6 linked regions of the Ovis aries genome follow. The protein of the gene in region 4 interacts with the protein of the main gene of each other region in a pairwise test. Links are inferred from orthologs where the notes say so. Each region holds a gene or a part of one and is shown on either strand. Other genes may lie near its edges.

Evidence for each region.
Region 1: the proteins of ALAS1 (region 4) and LONRF1 interact in binary tests that used the Homo sapiens proteins (3 or more experiments, as listed by UniProt). The two-hybrid records come from large-scale screens. The link is inferred for Ovis aries from reciprocal best matches to the Homo sapiens genes ALAS1 and LONRF1.
Region 2: the proteins of ALAS1 (region 4) and POLDIP2 interact in binary tests that used the Homo sapiens proteins (3 or more experiments, as listed by UniProt). The two-hybrid records come from large-scale screens. The link is inferred for Ovis aries from reciprocal best matches to the Homo sapiens genes ALAS1 and POLDIP2.
Region 3: the proteins of ALAS1 (region 4) and CDC73 interact in a two-hybrid assay, tested with the Homo sapiens proteins (3 studies listed by BioGRID and IntAct). The two-hybrid records come from large-scale screens. The link is inferred for Ovis aries from reciprocal best matches to the Homo sapiens genes ALAS1 and CDC73.
Region 5: the proteins of ALAS1 (region 4) and ZMAT1 interact in a two-hybrid assay, tested with the Homo sapiens proteins (2 studies listed by BioGRID). The two-hybrid records come from large-scale screens. The link is inferred for Ovis aries from reciprocal best matches to the Homo sapiens genes ALAS1 and ZMAT1.
Region 6: the proteins of ALAS1 (region 4) and DUSP19 interact in a two-hybrid assay, tested with the Homo sapiens proteins (3 studies listed by BioGRID and IntAct). The two-hybrid records come from large-scale screens. The link is inferred for Ovis aries from reciprocal best matches to the Homo sapiens genes ALAS1 and DUSP19.

The regions. Positions count from the first base shown.
Region 1 is NC_056079.1:23,431,124-23,434,623, forward strand, and holds part of LONRF1 (LON peptidase N-terminal domain and RING finger protein 1), read left to right. Parts: intron 1-955; coding exon 956-1,114; intron 1,115-1,227; coding exon 1,228-1,390; intron 1,391-3,500.
Region 2 is NC_056064.1:19,778,719-19,782,218, reverse strand, and holds part of POLDIP2 (polymerase delta-interacting protein 2), read left to right. Parts: intron 1-283; coding exon 284-380; intron 381-559; coding exon 560-635; intron 636-867; coding exon 868-975; intron 976-1,368; coding exon 1,369-1,505; intron 1,506-2,282; coding exon 2,283-2,309; intron 2,310-2,516; coding exon 2,517-2,642; intron 2,643-3,500. UniProt on the Homo sapiens protein: Involved in DNA damage tolerance by regulating translesion synthesis (TLS) of templates carrying DNA damage lesions such as 8oxoG and abasic sites.
Region 3 is NC_056065.1:11,318,998-11,322,986, forward strand, and holds the start of CDC73 (parafibromin), read right to left. Parts: upstream 2,801-3,989; 5' UTR 2,578-2,800; coding exon 2,447-2,577; intron 1-2,446.
Region 4 is NC_056072.1:48,760,344-48,762,598, reverse strand, and holds the end of ALAS1 (5-aminolevulinate synthase, non-specific, mitochondrial), read left to right. Parts: intron 1-138; coding exon 139-301; intron 302-1,445; coding exon 1,446-1,606; 3' UTR 1,607-1,755; downstream 1,756-2,255.
Region 5 is NC_056080.1:133,489,718-133,492,101, reverse strand, and holds the end of ZMAT1 (zinc finger matrin-type protein 1), read left to right. Parts: coding exon 1-970; 3' UTR 971-1,884; downstream 1,885-2,384.
Region 6 is NC_056055.1:126,672,976-126,676,475, reverse strand, and holds part of DUSP19 (dual specificity protein phosphatase 19), read left to right. Parts: intron 1-2,930; coding exon 2,931-3,083; intron 3,084-3,500.

The sequences.
Region 1 (3,500 bases), on a different chromosome or scaffold from region 4:
TTACAGTCATAATTTGTAACTCAAAGGTAATCACCACTGGCATTTTGGCATATGTCCTTCCTAATTTTAATATAAATACATTATAAACAAATATGGGATTATTTTACTATTATTTAATACCTTTTCTCATTAATCTAAAGTCTAAATATAGTATCTCATTTTATGGTTACATCATAATTTATTTTACTGGTTGGCTCTTTTTGCTTCTAAGTTTTGGCTACTATACACATTGAACATTTTTACAATACTTGTAGAAAAAAGCACACCTGTTGATTCAAAGGATATGAATATTAAAAACATTTTTTTGATGTATGTAGCCAAATTCTTCTTCAGTATGGTTGTACTATTTCAAACTGCCCCCGTCAACTGCCAGTTTTCCCCCATACCCTTGCCAAAGGGTTTCTTTAGATTAATGAGAAACTGAGCACTGCCTTTATCCTTCATATTTCCTGCCAATCTGGGAATGAAACTGTTTCACTTTAATTATCTGGAAAAAATTGTATGCCATTGAATTACCTGCTTTTGTTAGTAAGGAAATATTTTAGTGACTACAAAGTTTTTAAAATGTTTTTTGTCCTTTGCAGGAGCTCACTTATTGTTGTCTAAGAGTAAGAGTGTTTTATGGATAGAAGATAATAACTGTCATGTTACAAATATTTTAAACATTTTTAATATAAAATAGTTACAATCAATTGCTTTTTTATTCATAAAAGTACATAGCTCTATATGACAACTTTATAAATTTGAATTTACTTGTAAGAGGATTGCAGACAGTTTTAGGATTAATATTGTATCAACATGAGCTTAAATGAAGGGGATGTTGATTCTTATTCCTGCCAAGAATGAAAATTACCTGATTTTAGAGTACATTTTTGTTTTCTACTATTTATTGAAAGTTTCACTCATTTTTGTTGTATCTTCTGATATATAATAATGCAATTTTTTTCTTCTTCAGCTTGACCAAGAATGTTCCAATATTTGTTTGCACTATGGCCTATCCCACTGTGCCTTGCCCTCTTCATGTATTTGAGCCAAGATACAGATTGATGATTCGAAGAAGTATACAGACTGGAACTAAACAGTTTGGGATGTGCGTCAGTGATGCACAGAATAGGTATGCTTTTTGTCTAAATGTTTTTATTGATTCTTGAGTTTTCTGTGAATATTGCTGAGAACGTGCATGTCTGTGGCTTGAACTTTTGGTACTAACTGGAGTTTTTCTTCTAGTTTTGCAGATTATGGTTGTATGTTACAAATTAGAAATGTACATTTCTTGCCTGATGGACGGTCTGTGGTTGATACCGTTGGAGGAAAGCGGTTTAGGGTTTTAAAAAGAGGAATGAAAGATGGATATTGCACTGCAGACATTGAATACCTGGAAGATATTAAGGTATTAAAACCTACCCTTTTCAGTACTGGTATACTCTGTCCTAGGCATTGTACAGGCGTGAAAGCTGCAGTTTTCTAGGCACATTAACCAGTTCTTCCTGTCAGAGACCCTCATTAATACTTAAGCAAATTAGCTCCATTACCTTCTTCTCATTTTGTTTTTTGAAATTTTTATTTTATAATGGAGGAGAGCTGATGAACAATGTTGTGACAGTTTCAGGTGGACCTTAATATCATCTTGCTCTTAATTACTGTGAGTTCCAAGAGACCTTGGGAGACCACAGCCTAGACTTTGTTCATTTCTACTTCCTTGACAACCACCACCGTGCCTAGAATGTAGTCACATGTGTAGCTGCACGGCAGTTACTTAACAAAAGCAGGGTGTTGAACTTCCAGCCTAAGTTATGAAACCTGCTAAGTCCTGCCCTTTTAAATTAATTAGTAGTCAAAGCTGATACAGTCAGCAGTAGATTGAACTTCGGTGTAAAAGTAAACATGAAATCCTTGAATGGTTCTCTATATTAAGATATGCTTAAGATAACCTCAGTGATAACATAGACACAAACTCTAGAGCATCACAGATACAGCACTGTCAGTATAATTATAGGTGATATCTTACCTGGGGAGGGTTAGTGTGATAATTTTCTTGAATAGGGTTGATGCTACCCTTTTAACATTTCTAGTACCTGCTTTAGCATCTGCAGTTAGTTTAGGTACCAGAAAAATGATTTGAGATACTATAAATATCAAATTAAAGGCAGTTTTCTTTGGAAGGGCATTAGAAAATGAGAAAATCTTGTATTATCACTTGTTCATTGATCTGCTTGATCATCCCAAGCAGCATTTACTGAGTGTTAGCATTGGGCATTTCTGCAAACAGTGGCTCACTGAATTTTCAAAAGTCAGATAGCAGGTAAGGAAAGTAGGATTCAGGAGTTTTAATTAGTAATAATTTGCTAAGACGATAATAATTTAAAGCCAGCTCTCTGGCTTCACGTGCTGTGTTTTATCATTGCAGTCTTGATAAGCTTCTCTGCTGATAAACTTCATTAAATCTGCTACTGCCTATCCTATTTCATTATAAAGATGCTATGGGAAAACTTTGTGCAGTGAGCTAGAAGTATTGAGTTGGAATTTTGAGTTGATTGATATAGTCTGTGTCTTAGCATATTTGATTAATGGACTCATTTCCTAAAGGTGATATTTTTTGTAAAACTAATAAACTTAGTTTTGTGTAAATTTATATCTGCATATATTGGATTTGCTGACAAAATTCCTTGACTATATATGTATATGACATATAAATATGACAGTATGATAGAATATTGAAAGTATTAGGGATTTGATGTTTAGAATTGAATTCTCTATGTTGTAGTTATAGGAATGTCTAAATTTTTCTTCATCTTAGTGCCTCATCTGTGTAATGATTTCTTTTTCATTCTGGGAAATCGTCTCAAATTTGTTTTTTATATCAAGGCTATTTTTTCCCTTGGTGTTGTAATTCTGTTTTCTGTCTTTCAATAACATTTTAGATTCTGTTATTGCAAGGAAATTCCATAACTTTAAAACTTCTGCCAGCTTTTTAGCTCCTTTTTCTAACCAAGACTTATGATTTTTATCATTCCTTGTTTACCAAAGTTCATGGTTTGGTCCCTTGAATTTTATAAGGCTGGAAACTAGATACTTTTTTCTTTTGTAATAGTTTTAACAAGTAACATGTTTATTTTTTTAATCAAGATTTTAAAAATGGAAGTATAGTAGATTTGCAGTGTTGTGTTAATTTCTGCTGAATAGTGAAGTGATTCATTTATACATAAAATATTAAAAAATGTAAATATTTTCCATTTTCATTTATTATAGAATACTGAGCATAGTTCTCTGTGCTATATAATAGGACCTTGTTCATCCATTCTGTATATAAAAGCTTACATCTGCTAACCCCTCCCTCATCCCTCCACCGGTCCCCTCTCCCTTGGCGACGACCAGTGTATCCTCTGTATCCATGGTTCTGTTCCACAGGTTCATTTGTGTCAAATTTTGAATTCCACATGTAAGTGATATCGCATGGTATTTGTCTTTCTCTTTCTGCCTTCACTTCACTGTAGTTGCAG
Region 2 (3,500 bases), on a different chromosome or scaffold from region 4:
GCTCTGGGCTCCAGGGACTGAAGCAGCAGTATGATTTTCTCAGCTTGGACCCTTTTTTAAAGAGGCATCCAGAAAGTAAGATAAACGATGACTCTTCACCACACTCTATTGCTTGCTCCTGACTGGGGAGCGTCGGGCCAGGGCATGCTGAACATCTGCCCAGCTGCTGCTAAGCCCCTTCAGTTCAGGCACTGGTCTGTTTGGTGAGGGGGTGGTAGGGAGCTGGGGCAGGCCCCGCTTCTGTTTCTCAGGTTGATCTTCGGCTTTTCCTCCTGCCTCATAGAGCAGAGAACCCTGCCGGCCATGGCTCGAAGGAGGTGAAAGGCAAAACTCACACTTACTACCAGGTGCTGATTGATGCCCGAGACTGTCCACATATAGTAAGTAAGCAAGGTGGCTGTGCCTGGGGTTCTTTTCCATAGGGAAGGCCTGATGGGACTAAGATCCTGATGGGGACTAAGAGAAGGAGAGGGATCCAACAGTTCCATACTGCACTGGGCCCCAAGTCCTCAGGACTGGATAGTGACCGAGCAAACCTATGACTTGCTTCTTGCCTTAGTCTCAGAGATCTCAGACAGAAGCTGTGACTTTCTTGGCTAATCACGACGACAGCCGGGCCCTCTATGCCATCCCAGGTGAGTTATGACCGTCTGAGTGGTGCCCATCGGTGAGGGGTCTGGTGTGTCTCAGGAAGAGAATTCCAGTGCCTTTCTGCTGTCCTTGAATCTGCTTTGGAGGGTGTGTAGATGCTGAGAGCCTTGGTGCGAGGGTTGTCCCACCCTGGGACAAGGCCCAGAAATTGAGTTTCTTTTCAGCCCCACTCTTCCCCATTCCTCCATGAGTTTTCTGTCTCTCTCTCTCTGCCAGGCCTGGATTATGTCAGCCATGAAGACATCCTCCCCTACACCTCCACTGATCAGGTTCCTATCCAGCATGAGCTCTTTGAAAGATTTCTTCTGTATGACCAGACAAAAGGTACCCTCTGTCATAAAGGGAAGCTGGAATGGGAGGGCCCTTTCTTCAAAGACAGTGTCACAGAAGCAGTTTCAGAGCTGTTTCTACAACTTGATTTAACCTCCCTTTAGACCTGTCAGGTAGATGGCTCAGGGATGATGAGAGCAACTCAAGGTTGCTAGGTAGTGGCAGAGTGAGATCTGAGAGCCAGGGCTCCTAACTCCCAGGCCACTTCTCTTCCCCTGACGTCATATTCCTCCTTGGGGCTTATTCTTGGTAGGCAGCCCTGTGCCTTCTTCCAGCCTGTGCTGCTTTTGCTCACGTGTCTTATATACCTTGACCATCACTGGGAAGGATTTTATAAGAGGAACAGTTGGCCGCTGGCCTGGTCTAACCAGTCATTTCTTGCCCCAGCACCCCCTTTTGTGGCTCGGGAGACACTACGGGCCTGGCAGGAGAAGAATCACCCCTGGCTGGAGCTCTCTGATGTCCACCGGGAAACAACGGAGAATATCCGTGTCACTGTTATCCCCTTCTACATGGGCATGAGGGTAGGTGCCGAGCCTTGATACCTTCCCTCAGGGCCGGGCCCCCAGGTTCTGTGTGGTGTCCCCACGTTTAAACCATGTGCCTGAGGTTCTGGTTTCCAGTGCTGCATGTATTGGTTGGGGTCGAGCACCCTCTTGGCAAGAGCTGACACCAAGACCTAGAGCAAAGAAACTCTCAGATCCCAGGAAGGAGGCCTCCAGGTTGACTCTCTCCTCTTCTGGCTCAAAGGGAGCCATGATTATGAAGAACATACACATACTTATTTAAATCACCATAGGTTCCTCTTCCCACATTTTATAAATTTATTGAGCTCTTTCTTGCTTGGCTGTAACCTGGGTCTTAGGGAGACAAAACTGAAAGACTGTACCTGCCTTTCAGGAGCTCACGATAGTGGGGGAGGCCAGCCTACAGCTTTCCAAGTGTTGTTATCTTGCTGGGATGTGGGAAGGCAGAGGAGAAGACAGCAGCCTGGGCAGCAGTGGTGGGTGAAGGGGCAGCGTCTGATGGGGAGAGTGGTGAGAGGGAAGGGCCCTCTCCTCTGTTTTCTGTTCTCATCCAGCTCTGTGATCTTGATAGGATGAGGAGGAAGGAGGCCAGAGAAGGGCCCAGGGAGCCTGCCTCCCTCTGGGCATGTTGGCCATAGTTAGCACGTCATCAAGATACTTGTGGTTTTGTTCTGTCTTTGCATCCGTCCTGGAATACATCTGCTCCACTGGAGAGATGTTGATTGGAATTTCTACCCTTGGGGACTGAAATTCTTTGTGTTTGTTTTTCCCTAGGAAGCCCAGAATTCCCACGTCTACTGGGTGAGTGTCTAATCTCGGGCGGAGGGGAGCTCAGGAGGCGTGCCTGTGGGGGCAGGTTGGGAGGTGGGGGCTTTACCTCTGGGGTGGGAGATGAGACCCGTGCAGTGCAGGTACTGGCCTTTGTTGCCCTTTGCTCTCAGAATCCCCGGGGGGCGAGCCCAGGCTCTGTTCCTTCTCAGACATGAAGTCTCTCCCCTGCTCCCACAGTGGCGCTATTGCATCCGCTTGGAGAACCTCGACAGTGACGTGGTTCAGCTCCGGGAGCGACACTGGAGGATATTCAGTCTGTCCGGCACCTTGGAGACAGTGCGAGGCCGAGGGGTTGTGGGCAGGGTGAGCATCTTTGGGCTGATGATCTTGGTTTCTGGTCTCACCCAGCAGGCCTGGGAGCTTAAGGCATGGTCGCCTCCTCTGTGGTTAGGGACGGGCTCAGTGTATGAAAGCACAGGACTGTTGAGAGTGAGAAAGCTCACTGTGAGGGAGGCGTCTTATAACCCATTTCACAGATGGTGACACTGAGACTGTTATGTAACTAGCCCATGGTTCTTATAACTCATAGCAGCAGGTCCTGGATTTGGAGCCAAGTAAGTGACATTGGTGGCCACCCTGTTTAAAAATCTGAATTGGGAAGCCTTTGGGTGTGGCACACAGCCCCCACCACTCCCAGTTGCCCTTCCTCTGCCTCTTCACACACGTACATCCTCTGGTGGCCCTTGAAGAGATCTGATTTTGCAATTCCTGCACTACCCCACCCACTCTCCTGAGAAATAAAGGCAAGAGAAGGCCACATTCAGTAAGCAGTTATACACGTTAGCAGGGACTTGGGGAGGCAGCGTGGGATAGAAAGAACAGGGCTTTGGAGCTCATCTCTTTTCAGATGCCCACTGTGTTGTTTACTTGCTGCATAACTTTGGCCAGGTTATTTAACCAGAATCTCAGTTTTTTAGGATAACATCTATTACCTTATGATTACCAGGACTTAAGTTAGCAGGTGTTTGCTGATCATAAGGCACTTAGTGAATGGACTCTGAAAGGGATATTTGCAGAGATCTTGGCATCTTTGTCTGGAAACCTCAGATGTTTAGTCTGAGATTATCTTCCCCAGGGCCAGAGTAAAAGGCCCAGGTTAATGGTGGTGCTGTGAGAGGAGGTGCTGGCTGGCCGTTACGGTGGGAGGCATGAGAGGGCATC
Region 3 (3,989 bases), on a different chromosome or scaffold from region 4:
TCTTAAGAGCATGAAATCTAATAAGTGAAAATGTCATTTGGGCACACAAATGCAAACAATGACAAAAAGCAAGAGGTAAGGAAAGTACTATTCAAACTTTATTACTACAGACTTCTTAGAATTTGGTCCAAATTAGCTTCTGGGCTTTGTTAATAGAGAAACCTAATCAGTTAGGAAGGATCCATAAGAGAAACAAACTGATTAAAAGAAGCATACTAGTCACTTAGGCTAAACTTACAAGAAACTTATCATGTCTTCTAAGTAAGATTCTGCTGAGAAAACACCCTTACCAACATTCTTTAACACTACAATTAACTTCAGAGATATGATTCTTATGACTTCTCTCAAATTAAACTAGTGATGTAAAACCAAAACTAATTCTACCTGTGATAAAACAGTCATCCAGGAGTGCAAGCCCTTTCATGCAAATACATACTACTACTTGCTCAACAAATGTTAGTGTCCAATCCCACTGTCCTATTACATTCTCCCCATCTAGAAATATCAACGTATTGTTTAAATTCATCTGAATATGGCCCAATATAATCAGTCCCAATTATTTTTCTAGGCTGTATTTCCACTTTTTCCCTAAATCAATATACTTCAAACCACATATCACTTATCAATCACTGTATTATGAAGTAGATAATACATGAGTAACAAGCTGTATCTCTTCGTGATATCGTGATATATTAAAAAAAAAAACAACAGGATGCACTGCATTCAGTAAGGGTAAATATTAATGTCATGCATATGTGTGCATTTCCCTAAACACAGAGAATAACACTCAATCAAAATACATGTACTGGTGTGATTCACTGCTGCAAAAGTTTGAAATCTACTGTTGTAAGCACTCTTTTCTTACTACTGGCTTCACTCAGCTATCAAAACATTTCCTTTCCAGCTCTCAGGTCTTTAAGCATGCCATTCCCTCAGCTGGAAAGACCTAGCCCACTACTTCGCCCTCAGAATTCCTATCCACTCCTTAACATTTGTTCATTCATTTATTCAAGAAAAACCTAGCATGTCCATAGGCCAAACACACTTCTATGAAAACTTTCCAAGTTAGAAGTGATTGCTCTCTTTAGGAACTGGAATTCGATTCTTATCAAGTTATGTGTCATCTCTTCCACTCTGATTGAGATAACCTCCTTTGAGGCACCGACCTAGGTTTTCAAAATATTTTCCAGTTCTGGGACTGAACAGCCTTACACTGTGAATACTCAACCATTTTTTAAAGAAAAACCAATCAGTTAAAAATCCAATCAGCGCTGAGCTCCTACACAATGTGTGGGGCAGAGGACTCCTAACCTCTTCCAGCTTGTTACTCCCCAAATCAAATAGACTTTTCATCACATAAGCTGTTAATTTGTTTTTAAAATGTAAATCTGCCTGTGCAAGTTCCTTTTGAAAGGAAAAAAAAAAAAAAAAACCAGAAAACTCAGAATGATTTTACCCATCTGCACAAAGCTAATTAAACCATAAGCAGCCCAAGATGCCAAAAAAATTAAATAAATAAAACCCAAGGAACTAAACTTCCCCTAGCTTTTCATCAACTCTTCCTAAAGCCCACTGCTCCCATTCAATCAAGCAAAATAAGTATGAAAGTTTTCGTCTAGGGCTCTAGCTATCCAAATGAAACGCCACTGAGAGAGGAAGGGTTCACTCAAAAAGCCCCTCATGATGATCAGACCTATTTTTCTTTTGAAATACATATGCATATATCTATTCTTTTTCAGATACTTTTCCCGTGTAGGTTTCAGATCTCCCTTCGGGTGTCTTCCTTAAGGACTTACACTCGGGCAACCCTCACTGGGATCAACATTCCCAGACACACACTCTTCACACACATTTCCCACACAATCGCACACTCTATTCGTTCCCCACTTAGAATGGCAAAGTTGACTTCATTTCAGCAGGAACTTTCTCCCTGAGGGAGACCCCTGCCTTCACCTCCAACAGATTCCGACGACTTGTCCCAGGTCGCCGAAATCTTACCCGTCCTAACCTGACGGAGTGGGTTCCCTTCTCTCTCTGCTTGAGGGAATCGCGAAAGGAGACGGAACCGACCAGGAGCTGCAAAGGGCCAGCAGAGACCATCGCAGAAGAGCCTCCGAGAGAGATTTTAAAAAACAACAACTAAAGGACAAAAAGAGCCGCCCGAGGACCCGGCGGGGCGCTCCTTTATATGCACCTATGCACCCGGCCGGCTCTCCACACACAGGGGCAGAGACCTCCACACGGAGCCGCGGAGGAGGGACCCCTCCGAACGCCGCTCCTCCCGCGCCCTCCTCACAGACGAGCTGCAACTTCTGCTCCCGGGAAAACTTTTCCCCGGAGCACCCGTTTTCCTCAACCCGCAAGGGGAGCGGGGGGGAGGGGTTCGGGGAGAGAGAGAGGGGGACCCCGGGGCGCCCAGCCCTGCCCCCCGCCGCAACAGACTCACCCCCAAACCACATAGTTGGTCTTCACGTTCTTGGGCCAGGAGAACTCGCCGAAGATCACTTCGTCCCCTTTCACCACAATCTCCTTCTTCTGGATGTTGTACTGTCGCAGGACGCTGAGCACGTCCGCCATCTTCGCCCCCCTCGCCGCCGCCGGCCCCGGGCCCCGCCGCCGCCGCCGCGCCCGCCGCCCCTTTCGCCTGTCGCCTCAGCCCCCCCACCCCCCGCCCCTCTGCCTCGGCCGCCGCCGCCGCCGCCGCCGCCGCCGCGAGCCAACTGCAGTCGCACTGGCAGCCGTCCGCGCCTACGACAGCAGCGGGGGAAGGAGCCACCCAGGCCGCCGAGGACCCCGCGCTAGGAGGCAAGGCCCCGCCGCGGGCTGCCCGCGGAGAACGCCTGACCGCGCGCGCCGCCGCCGCCGCCGCCCGCCGCCAGGGGGCGCCGCGCCCGCCCGGGAAACGCCCCTCCCAGACTCCCACTTGGCGCGCGGGGCCGACTCCCGGCCCGCAACTCATAGGGCGCGGGGACGCAGCGCCCACGTACGGCGCACGTACGGGGGAGCCTTGCCCGGCGCACGCGCGGGAGCACGGACCTCATCCTCCTTTCCCCCGCCCCCGACTCGCCCCACCACGCGCAGCGCGCACGCGGCAGGCGACAGGTGCGCGCGCACCTGCGCGGGGAATCTGGGACGTCAGTTCCCAGAGCGCGCAATGGGTGCTCCTCGACGGGCCCGCAGTGTTGGCCGCTGGCCAGTGCAGTGTGGTCTCTCCTTTAACCAGGCTGCAGCCTGGTGAGAGGTTTGCAGAGCCAAGGTTGCCGTCCCGACGAGGTTGGACCCACCTAACAAATGGCCTCTTGATAAACCCCTGTAGAAGGGAAAGGTGTTTGGGGAAAGATGTTGCTTTGGGGGTTATTTTTTATTTTGTGTTTTTAGTGGGCTCGCCTAGGCCAAAGATCAATGCCGGGGCACTGGTGTTTGTTAGCTGCCTTTTGACCTCAGTCAAGTTACACACCTTCTCACAGAATCAATTGGTTAATGGAGAACATGGAAGCTAAAAGCATCAGGCAAATCAAAAAATCATAAATATTGGATCTTCCCCTTCTCAGTTCCTTAGATGGTGGCTTTTTCCTTCTTGTCCCCTTCTCCTGGCCAGCCTCAAGGGGCTACAGTTTAATAGCTGTCTTCCGAGATGCTAATAGGAGAGTTAGAGAACACAAGCTCAGTTTATTGATATAAATTCAGTTTACTGTGGCATGTCTACCTTAAACATATCCCATGGGCCATTTTTTAAAAATGTCTTACTATAGCAGAAAAGGAAAAAAGTCGACTTTGTGATTGACATAACCAAATTCTTTTACCCGATTTGAAAGAAAGCAATTTTCGTTATGTGCACTGCAGAGAGATCTGTAGAATGTGGTTCACTTTTCTGTATTCACTCTTCAGCCATTTTGCAGCTGAATTTGAGAAATTTTGACTATTCTGTAAATTTTCCTAAACTTCACCCCAAACATGTTAAAAATAACCTTTTTATTTATCCCCAGTAC
Region 4 (2,255 bases):
ACCCTTTAAACTGCAGGTGTCGGGGCAGCCTCTCTGCCAGGCTTGCATATGCAGGTCGAGCCCAAGCCACTTGGACACGCGTGTGACTAGTCTCTGCTGTCTGGTTCCAGCCTTATCTTCTGTTATTATCAATCTTAGGTGGCAGATGCTGCTAAAAACACGGAGGTCTGTGATGAACTAATGACTAGACATAATATCTATGTCCAAGCGATCAATTACCCCACAGTGCCCCGGGGCGAGGAGCTGCTGCGCATCGCCCCCACGCCGCACCACACACCGCAGATGATGAGCTACTTCGTGGGTGAGTAGCCAGGGAGCCGCCAGAGCCCCGCGGGAGAGTGGCGTGAAGCTGTCTGCAGCATTTATAATTCAAGCCATTCAGATTTGTCTCTTCTTTTTCCAAGTAATTAAGAATATTCTCAGGTGGTACAGAAGTGTGAAAGACAGTTAGTCGTTCGCTCCACTTCACGGGAAGCACCGAGGGAGCCTGCTGTCCGCTCACTGTTCCCATCCATGCCTCTGTCTGTGTGGCTCAGGGACCCCCAGTGGTGGCTGCTGCAGGAGAGATGCCTCTGACAGCCTAAGCCTGCCCGGGCCTCCAGAGCTCAGCTCTGCACTTCTCTCTTCTCTGAAAACCGACTACACACCTAACCCCTTCTGTTCAGCATTTCATATTCTCATAGTTCTGTATAACGCAGGCCTTTCCGCCTGCGTCCAGCTGAAGGCAGAGACTAAACTCATAGCTGCCTCTGCCTCGGAGGTGTGTTGCCCTCCTGAGCCTCCACCGCCACCCACGGTGGTTCCCTGCCTCCAGCCTTTCGGGCTCCCCTGCAAGGAATGATCCATTCCACACAGTGCAGCCATGTGGGAGCGACTTCTTCTCTGAAGGGTGTAAAGTAAAGCCAGACCTGGGTTTTCTCTACTTTTTAAGTAACAGCCTATTAAGATAGAATTCAGATAAAACAAATTCTAACCTTTCAAAACACATAATTCAGTGGCTTTGAAGTAATGTTGTGCAACCGTCAGCATTCTGATGCCAGAACGTTTTTATCACCTCAGAGAGAAACTTTACACCGCTTAGCAGCCACATCCCAGCCCTGATCCACTTTCTGTCCGTGGACTTGCCTGTACATAACATTTTATGGAAATGGAGTTGTACAGTATATGGCCCTTTGTGCCTGGCTTATTTCACAGCACAGTGTGTTCAAGGTTTCATCTACGTTGTAGCTTGAATCAGCACTTCGTTCCTACCAAATAATTCTCCTCAGTACAGATATACCATGTTTTGTTTATCCATCAATTGGTGGATGTTTGGATTGTTTCTACTTTCTGACTATTATGAAAAAAAAAAAGAATGCTGCTGTGAACACTTGTGTAAAAGTTATCATTGTCCATTTGTCCTGGGTATGTACTTCCTCTAATTTAAAAAAACTTGCTCCTCACAGATCATCTGCTGGCCACATGGAAGCGAGTTGGGCTGGAACTCAAGCCACATTCCTCAGCCGAGTGCAACTTCTGCAGGAGGCCACTGCATTTTGAAATGATGAGCGAAAGAGAGAAATCCTACTTCTCCGGTATGAGCAAGCTGGTATCTGCTCAGGCCTGAATGTGCTGTGCCCTAAGTTACTCCACCTACCCCAAGTCACACTGTATCCAGGTAGTCCCTCCACAGTTGTCTTTGTATGTGAATTAAATTATATTAATTTTAATCTATGGTAAACATGTAGTCCAGAAAATAAATTCTTGTCTAAATTAGGGTTCCTCTTTTTATTGGCTACTGAATCAAAAAGTCATTCATCCCTTTAAACTCGGTCTGCCTCCCGCTGCCCCGTCCCACCTCTCTAGGTCATCACAGAGCACGGAGCTGAGCTCCCTGCGTTATCCCACAGCTTCCCACTTGCCATCTGTTCTACACATGGTAGTAATATGTCAAGCCCAATCTCCCAATTCGTCCTACCCTCCACGGAGTTGGACATGACTGAAGCGACTCAGCAGCAGCAGCAGCCCCTCCCCAGTGGTGGCCACATGCCCGTTCTCCACGTCTGCATCTCTGCTCCTGCCCTGCAAATAGACTCACCTGTACCATTTTTCTAGATTCCACATACATGTGCTCATATACAATCTTTGTTTTTCTCTTTTTGAGTTACTTCACTCTGTATGACAGACTCTTAAGTCCATCCACATCACTACAAAAGACTCTGATTTGTTCCTTTTTCTGGCTGAGTAATATTCCATTGTATACATGCAATCTTTGA
Region 5 (2,384 bases), on a different chromosome or scaffold from region 4:
CAGAGGACTAGATCCAAAGACTTGTTTCAGAAAGGAAAGAGAGAGCTCTGTGGAAACCCATGGGTACAGAGAAATTTATTCTGGACCCAGACCAAGAATGTGTGAACGAAGATATTCATTTGAGACTTCTCAGACCTACCAACGACCATACACTATTTCACCAGTGGAAAGCCAAGTATATCACTGGTTACCAGCTCCTTCGAAGAGGACATATAACTCTTTCCAAGATGAACTTGAGGATTATATCAAAGTGCAGAAAGCCAGAGGACTAGAGCCAAAGACTTCTTTCAGAAAGATAAGTGATAGCTCTGTAGAAACCCATAAGCACAGAGAAATGGTTGATTCCAGACCCAGACCTAGAATGTTTGAGCAAAAACTCCCATTTGAGACTTTCCATTTCCAGGCTTACCCAGGATCATATAGTATTTCACAGGCAGAAGAAAACCAGTTACCTCATCCTTTACCAACTCATGACAGCAAACAGAGATTAGACTCTGTGACCTACTGTCAACCCACCAGAGACTGTTTCCCAGAAAAACCAGTACCCCTGAGCCTTAGTCAGCAGGATAATAACTCTGGCACATACAGTGTAGAATCTGAAGTTTATAAGCACCTCTCCTCAGAAAACGATACCAGTGAGCATCAAGTAGGTCATAAGCGGAAACATCAGAAGAAAAGAAGGCACATGGAGAAAGGTGAAGAAAGGCCAGAGAAGGAGCAGTCCAAGCATAAAAGAAAAAAGAGTTATGCGGATACAGACCTAGACAAGCACAAGGGCACTGGGGAAAGGAAAAGAGATGGAGATAAATTCAGAGTCAGTTCAGGAAGGCTTAAGCATCGAAAAAAGAAAAAAAGCCGTGGTGTACCCTCTGAGAAGGAAGAACGTAAGCACAAGAAAGAGAAAAAAAAATCTGTTGAAGAAAAGACGGAAGAGGAAATGCTTTGGGATGAGTCTATTCTTGGATTTTAAACTTTTAGCCTTGTTTACCCCAAGAGAAATAGAATGGGGGAATTTAGACAAAGACAGAAACATCCAATGAAGAAAAAGAGAGGTGAGTACAGTCAGTGTCAGTTCAAGAAAGCTTAGTTTTTTGTGTGTAAAAATTGAAATTGACTTGAAAGAAGAGACAAACAAGCCTAAACCTCACCTCTGAGAGAGAAGAACAAAAGAACACAGTCAGAACATAAGAGAAAAGGAAGCCAGTTAAAAGATAAACATGTCAGTGCTTTAGGACGAGTCTTCTCCTGGATTTTGAACTTTTCAGTTGTGTTCTTTAAGGTTGAATTGATGAAATAAGTTGAAGAGTTTGGTTTCATGAAATTCATGTTATTTGAATTTCCCTAAGTGAACAGTTACTTTAACCGTTAACAAAAGCCAAGTGAAGTAAGAGTATTCAATATGCCTTTTCCTCAAGTTATTTTTCCTCATTTCTTAACATGAAAGAAAAATTACATATTTCCTGCGTATAAAGTAATTTATCTTGATGAGACTATCTCTGCTCCTGATCATCCAGTTGCTCTGATAGTGAATTATTTACCTATGGGAGAAAATTAATTTTAAATGAGAAAATCAGCAGGCATCAGAATCCATCCTCTGTTTGGGTTGTGTTAGTGTTGGTGGTATTTTTAATTGCTATTATGTTTATGTTTCTTGGTTTTCTCCAAGGAAAATACGTGAAGCAATTTAGATTGATTTTTTGTTCATTTGTTAAATATAATTTGCAGTGTATTTTTGTATTTTCTAGTTCTGAAAGTGGGAAATGAAACAGTCTATAATAAATGTAGATGATATATAGTTTTAAAGAGTTCTCTCAAGAAGTACTGATAAAAAATCAGTCTATATTCTGTAAATGTTTATATTATATTAAAGTGTTTTAATTTCTATATATTGTTTTTTGTAAATAATTATTTCCAACCTGAATATTATTTTATTTTGGGAGTGAGAGGGGAAATAAACAATTTTCACCTCTGAGGAGATCACACTGTAAAGTTTTTTGTTTTGTTTTCCTTTCCAGTAAGGAAATATTTATTTATTTATTCATTTTTCTTAACACCAAAAACATTTTGTATTGGGGTATAGCCGATTAACAATGGTTGTGATAGTTTCAGGTGAACAGTGAAGGGACTCAGCTGTACATATTCATGTATCCATTCTCCCCCAAACCACCTTCCCATCCAGGCTGGCACATAACATTGAGCAGAATTCTATGTGCTATACAATAGGTTTTTGTTGCTTATCCATTTAAAATATAGCAGTGTGTACATGGCCTTTCAAAATTCTTTAACTATCCCTTCCCCCTGGCAACCATGAGTTCCTTTTCTAAGTCTGTGAGTCTCTTCCTGTTGCATAAGTAAGTTCATTTGTATCATTTCTTTTTAGATTC
Region 6 (3,500 bases), on a different chromosome or scaffold from region 4:
CATCATGGCAAATAGATGGGGGAACAGTGGAACAGTGTCAGACTTTATTTTTTTGGGCTCCAAAATCACTGCAGATGGTGATTGCAGCCATGAAATTAAAAGACCCTTACTCCTTGGAAGGAAAGTTATGACCAACCTAGATAGCATATTGAAAAGCAGAGACATTACTTTGCCAAAAAGGTCCGTCTAGTCAAGACTATGGTTTTTCCAGTGGTCATGCATGGATGTGAGAGTTGGACTGTGAAGAAAGCTGAGCACCAAAGAATTGATGCTTTTGAACTGTGGTGTTGGAGAAGACTCTTGAGAGTCCCTTGGACCGCAAGGAGATCCAACCAGTCCATTCTAAAGATCAGTTCTGGGGGTTCTTTGGAAGGACTGATGCTAAAGCTGAAACTCCAATACTTTGGACACCTCATGTGAAGAGTTGACTCATTGGAAAAGACTCTGATGCTGGGAGGGATTGGGGGCAGGAGGAGCAGGGGACGACAGAGGATGAGATGGCTGGATGGCATCACCAACTCGATAGACGTGAGTTTGAGTGAACTCCGGGAGTTGGTGATGAACAGGGAGGCCTGGTGTGCTGCAATTCATGGGGTTGCAAAGAGTCGGACACGACTGAGCAACTGAACTGAACTGAACTGAATTGAAATTACCTAGACATTGGATAGTTTAATAGCCCACGATATTTGTAAAGCACTTTTACCTTTCAGCAAGTTTCCTCAAGATTCTCATTTTGTGATCTTCATAATTCTGTGATAGATAGGAAAGCTGTATAGATACAGATATATTCTATAAGTGGTCAGACCTCATTTTTGGTCTTTGGGGGATGTAAAATATAGTTCTAAAGACAGGGCAAACACATCAGTATCATACGACATTGGAATATCTATTATGTAATTAAAGGCAGAGTCATACAGCCCTGGCCAGAGGTTCTCTTGGAGTGGGAGGGTAACTTGACACAGCCTGAGAGGCCATCACAAGGAAAGCAGAAGGACATTTCAGACAGTATCTGCTAAAAATGTTCTTCCCTTCTGTCTAGAATTCTCCCATCTCTCTTGAGCAGATTAGAGGGTTTTTTTCTGTTGTTTTCCTCCACAAGGCAGTTAGGTTTGTAAGCAGCTTATGGCCCTCTCTTCATGAGGTCTAGTTCCCTGAATATCTTAATCAATACTCCTTTGGCTGTGGACCACAGAAACCTGAGCAAGGAGAGAGAATGCATATGATGATCTCAGGGCGGGGAGATGAGGGCAGGGGGAGCTTGTTGGAAGCCGGGAGGAGAGTAGCTGTGCCAGAGAATAGAAGGCCATCCCCTGGCACACGGCCCCTCTCTGCACATCTGCTCTTCTCATTTGGAAGCAGGGATCTTTCACTTAATACAGAATGGCTGTCTTAAAGCTCCTGAGTTTGTGGATTATTCTAACTGTCTCGTACACCTCTTTCTAAATTTCTTAAATCAATCTAGCTTAAGTCAGGTGTCCACCGGAATCCAGTTAGCTGTGTTGGGGGAAGGAGCGAGGCACTGCCAGAGCCACACCTGTGAGGATAGTAGGGGCGGGAGAGGCAGAATCCGATCCATTTAGCCTTTGGATTCTCTTAACGAACTTCTCACATGGCTTCTTGCATTTGCTTGGTGGACTCCAGGAAAGGAGCTTGAATGCGTAGATGGAGGAGGAGGTTGCTCACATGTGCCATTTGAAAGCAAATCTTTCACGACCATCTCACCTTTCAACCAGACTAATTCATCAGAATTTCTGGGATTGAGACCCTGTGGCATTGGTGCTTTTTAAAACCTCACTGGGTGACCAGTCACCTTGAAACCAAACCCAGCGCCCTATGGTGTGACTTGCCGTCCAAGTTCAGAAGCAGCAGAGAATCCAAAATTCAGGGTGTACCTATTGAACTTTTAAAAAGCTCACTGGGTAGTTCTGGTGTGTAGCCACACTTGAGAACAACTGTACTTACAAAGAATACAAAAGGAAAGTAGGGAAATAATTATTGAAAGGGAAGTTATTGCTACTAATGCACGTCCCTTACTTTAATTTTTTTATGGACATTAATTGATTTATTCAATAGATATTTTAAGTACTTCTGTGTGAGGTTTCCTGCTCACTCACAATGCTTACTTATAAAAGTGAGTAGGCTAAATATGGTCCCTACCCTGGTGGAGTTTCCAGTACAATATGGGAGACGAACTCTAGGTGATAAGGGCTATTGTAAGGCACATAGAGGGTACTATAGGAGTATACAGGCTTCCCTGGAGGCTCAGTGTTAAAGAACCTGCCAAGCAGATGTGGGTTTGATCCCTGGGTTGGAAAGATTCCCTAGAGACGGAAATGGCAACCCACTCCAGTCTTCTTGTCTGGGACATCCCATGAACAGAGGAGCCTGGTGGGCTACCGTCCATAGGGGTCACAAAAGAGTCAGACATGGCATGGCGACTAAACAACAATAACAACAAATATGTGTGTAGAAATAGCACTTCTGGTAAGGGAGGAGGCCGGCAGAGAAGGCTCCCTGAAGGACGTGTTATTCAAGTGTGCGTGTGTTCAGTCGTGTCTGACTTTTGTGTGAGTCTTTGGACTGTTGCCCAGCAGACTCCTTTGTCCATGGAATTTTCCAGGCAGGAATATTGGAATGGGTTGCCATTTCCTCCTCGAGGGGATCTACCCGACCCAGGGATCGAACCTATGTCTCTGGCATTTCCTTCATTGCAGGCAGATTCTTTACCACTGAGCCACCTGGGAAGCCCAAGTGAGTGAGTCATGCTTAAATTATGTATTGTTACAGATCTCAACACCTCAATTTAATTAACCTAATTAATTAACCTAAGTAACCTAATTAGGTTTAATTTTATTTAAACATAATTTTTTAGGTTTAATTAACCTAATTCATGTGAATTTTTAAAAATTTATCTTTTTTTTGTCTTTAAGGTGACTCATATTCTCAATGTTGCATATGGAGTTGAAAACGCTTTCCTCAATGACTTTATATATAAGAATATTTCTATATTGGATCTGCCTGAGACCAATATCCTGTCTTATTTTCCAGAATGTTTTGGATTTATTGAACAAGCAAAAATGAAGGTAAGTTTGGTACCGATTCACAGTTCCTCAAGAACAGAAATTTTAAAATACTGGTCCATTCTCCACTTCTCTCTGTAATGAATATGTAAGAACTATTATTAAGTTTCCCTTTCAACAATATTTCATTAATTCCTATAATTATTTAGTCCTCCAGTTGCTCTTCTTCCAGTGAGGTACTTACTTTTAACTTTATTTTCTTGCATTTATTTACTACTACTGTTTTGACTGTGTTGGTCGTGACTGTGCCATTGGGCTCTCTCTTGCAGCCTGTGCGCTTCCCTCTAGCTGTGGCACTTGGGCCCCAAAGTGCGTGGGCTCTGCAGTTGTGTGCAGGCTCCAGAGCGCATACGCTCTGTGGCTTGTGGCACTCAGACTCTCTAGTTGAGGAACACGGGCTCACTAGTTGGGGCACCTGGG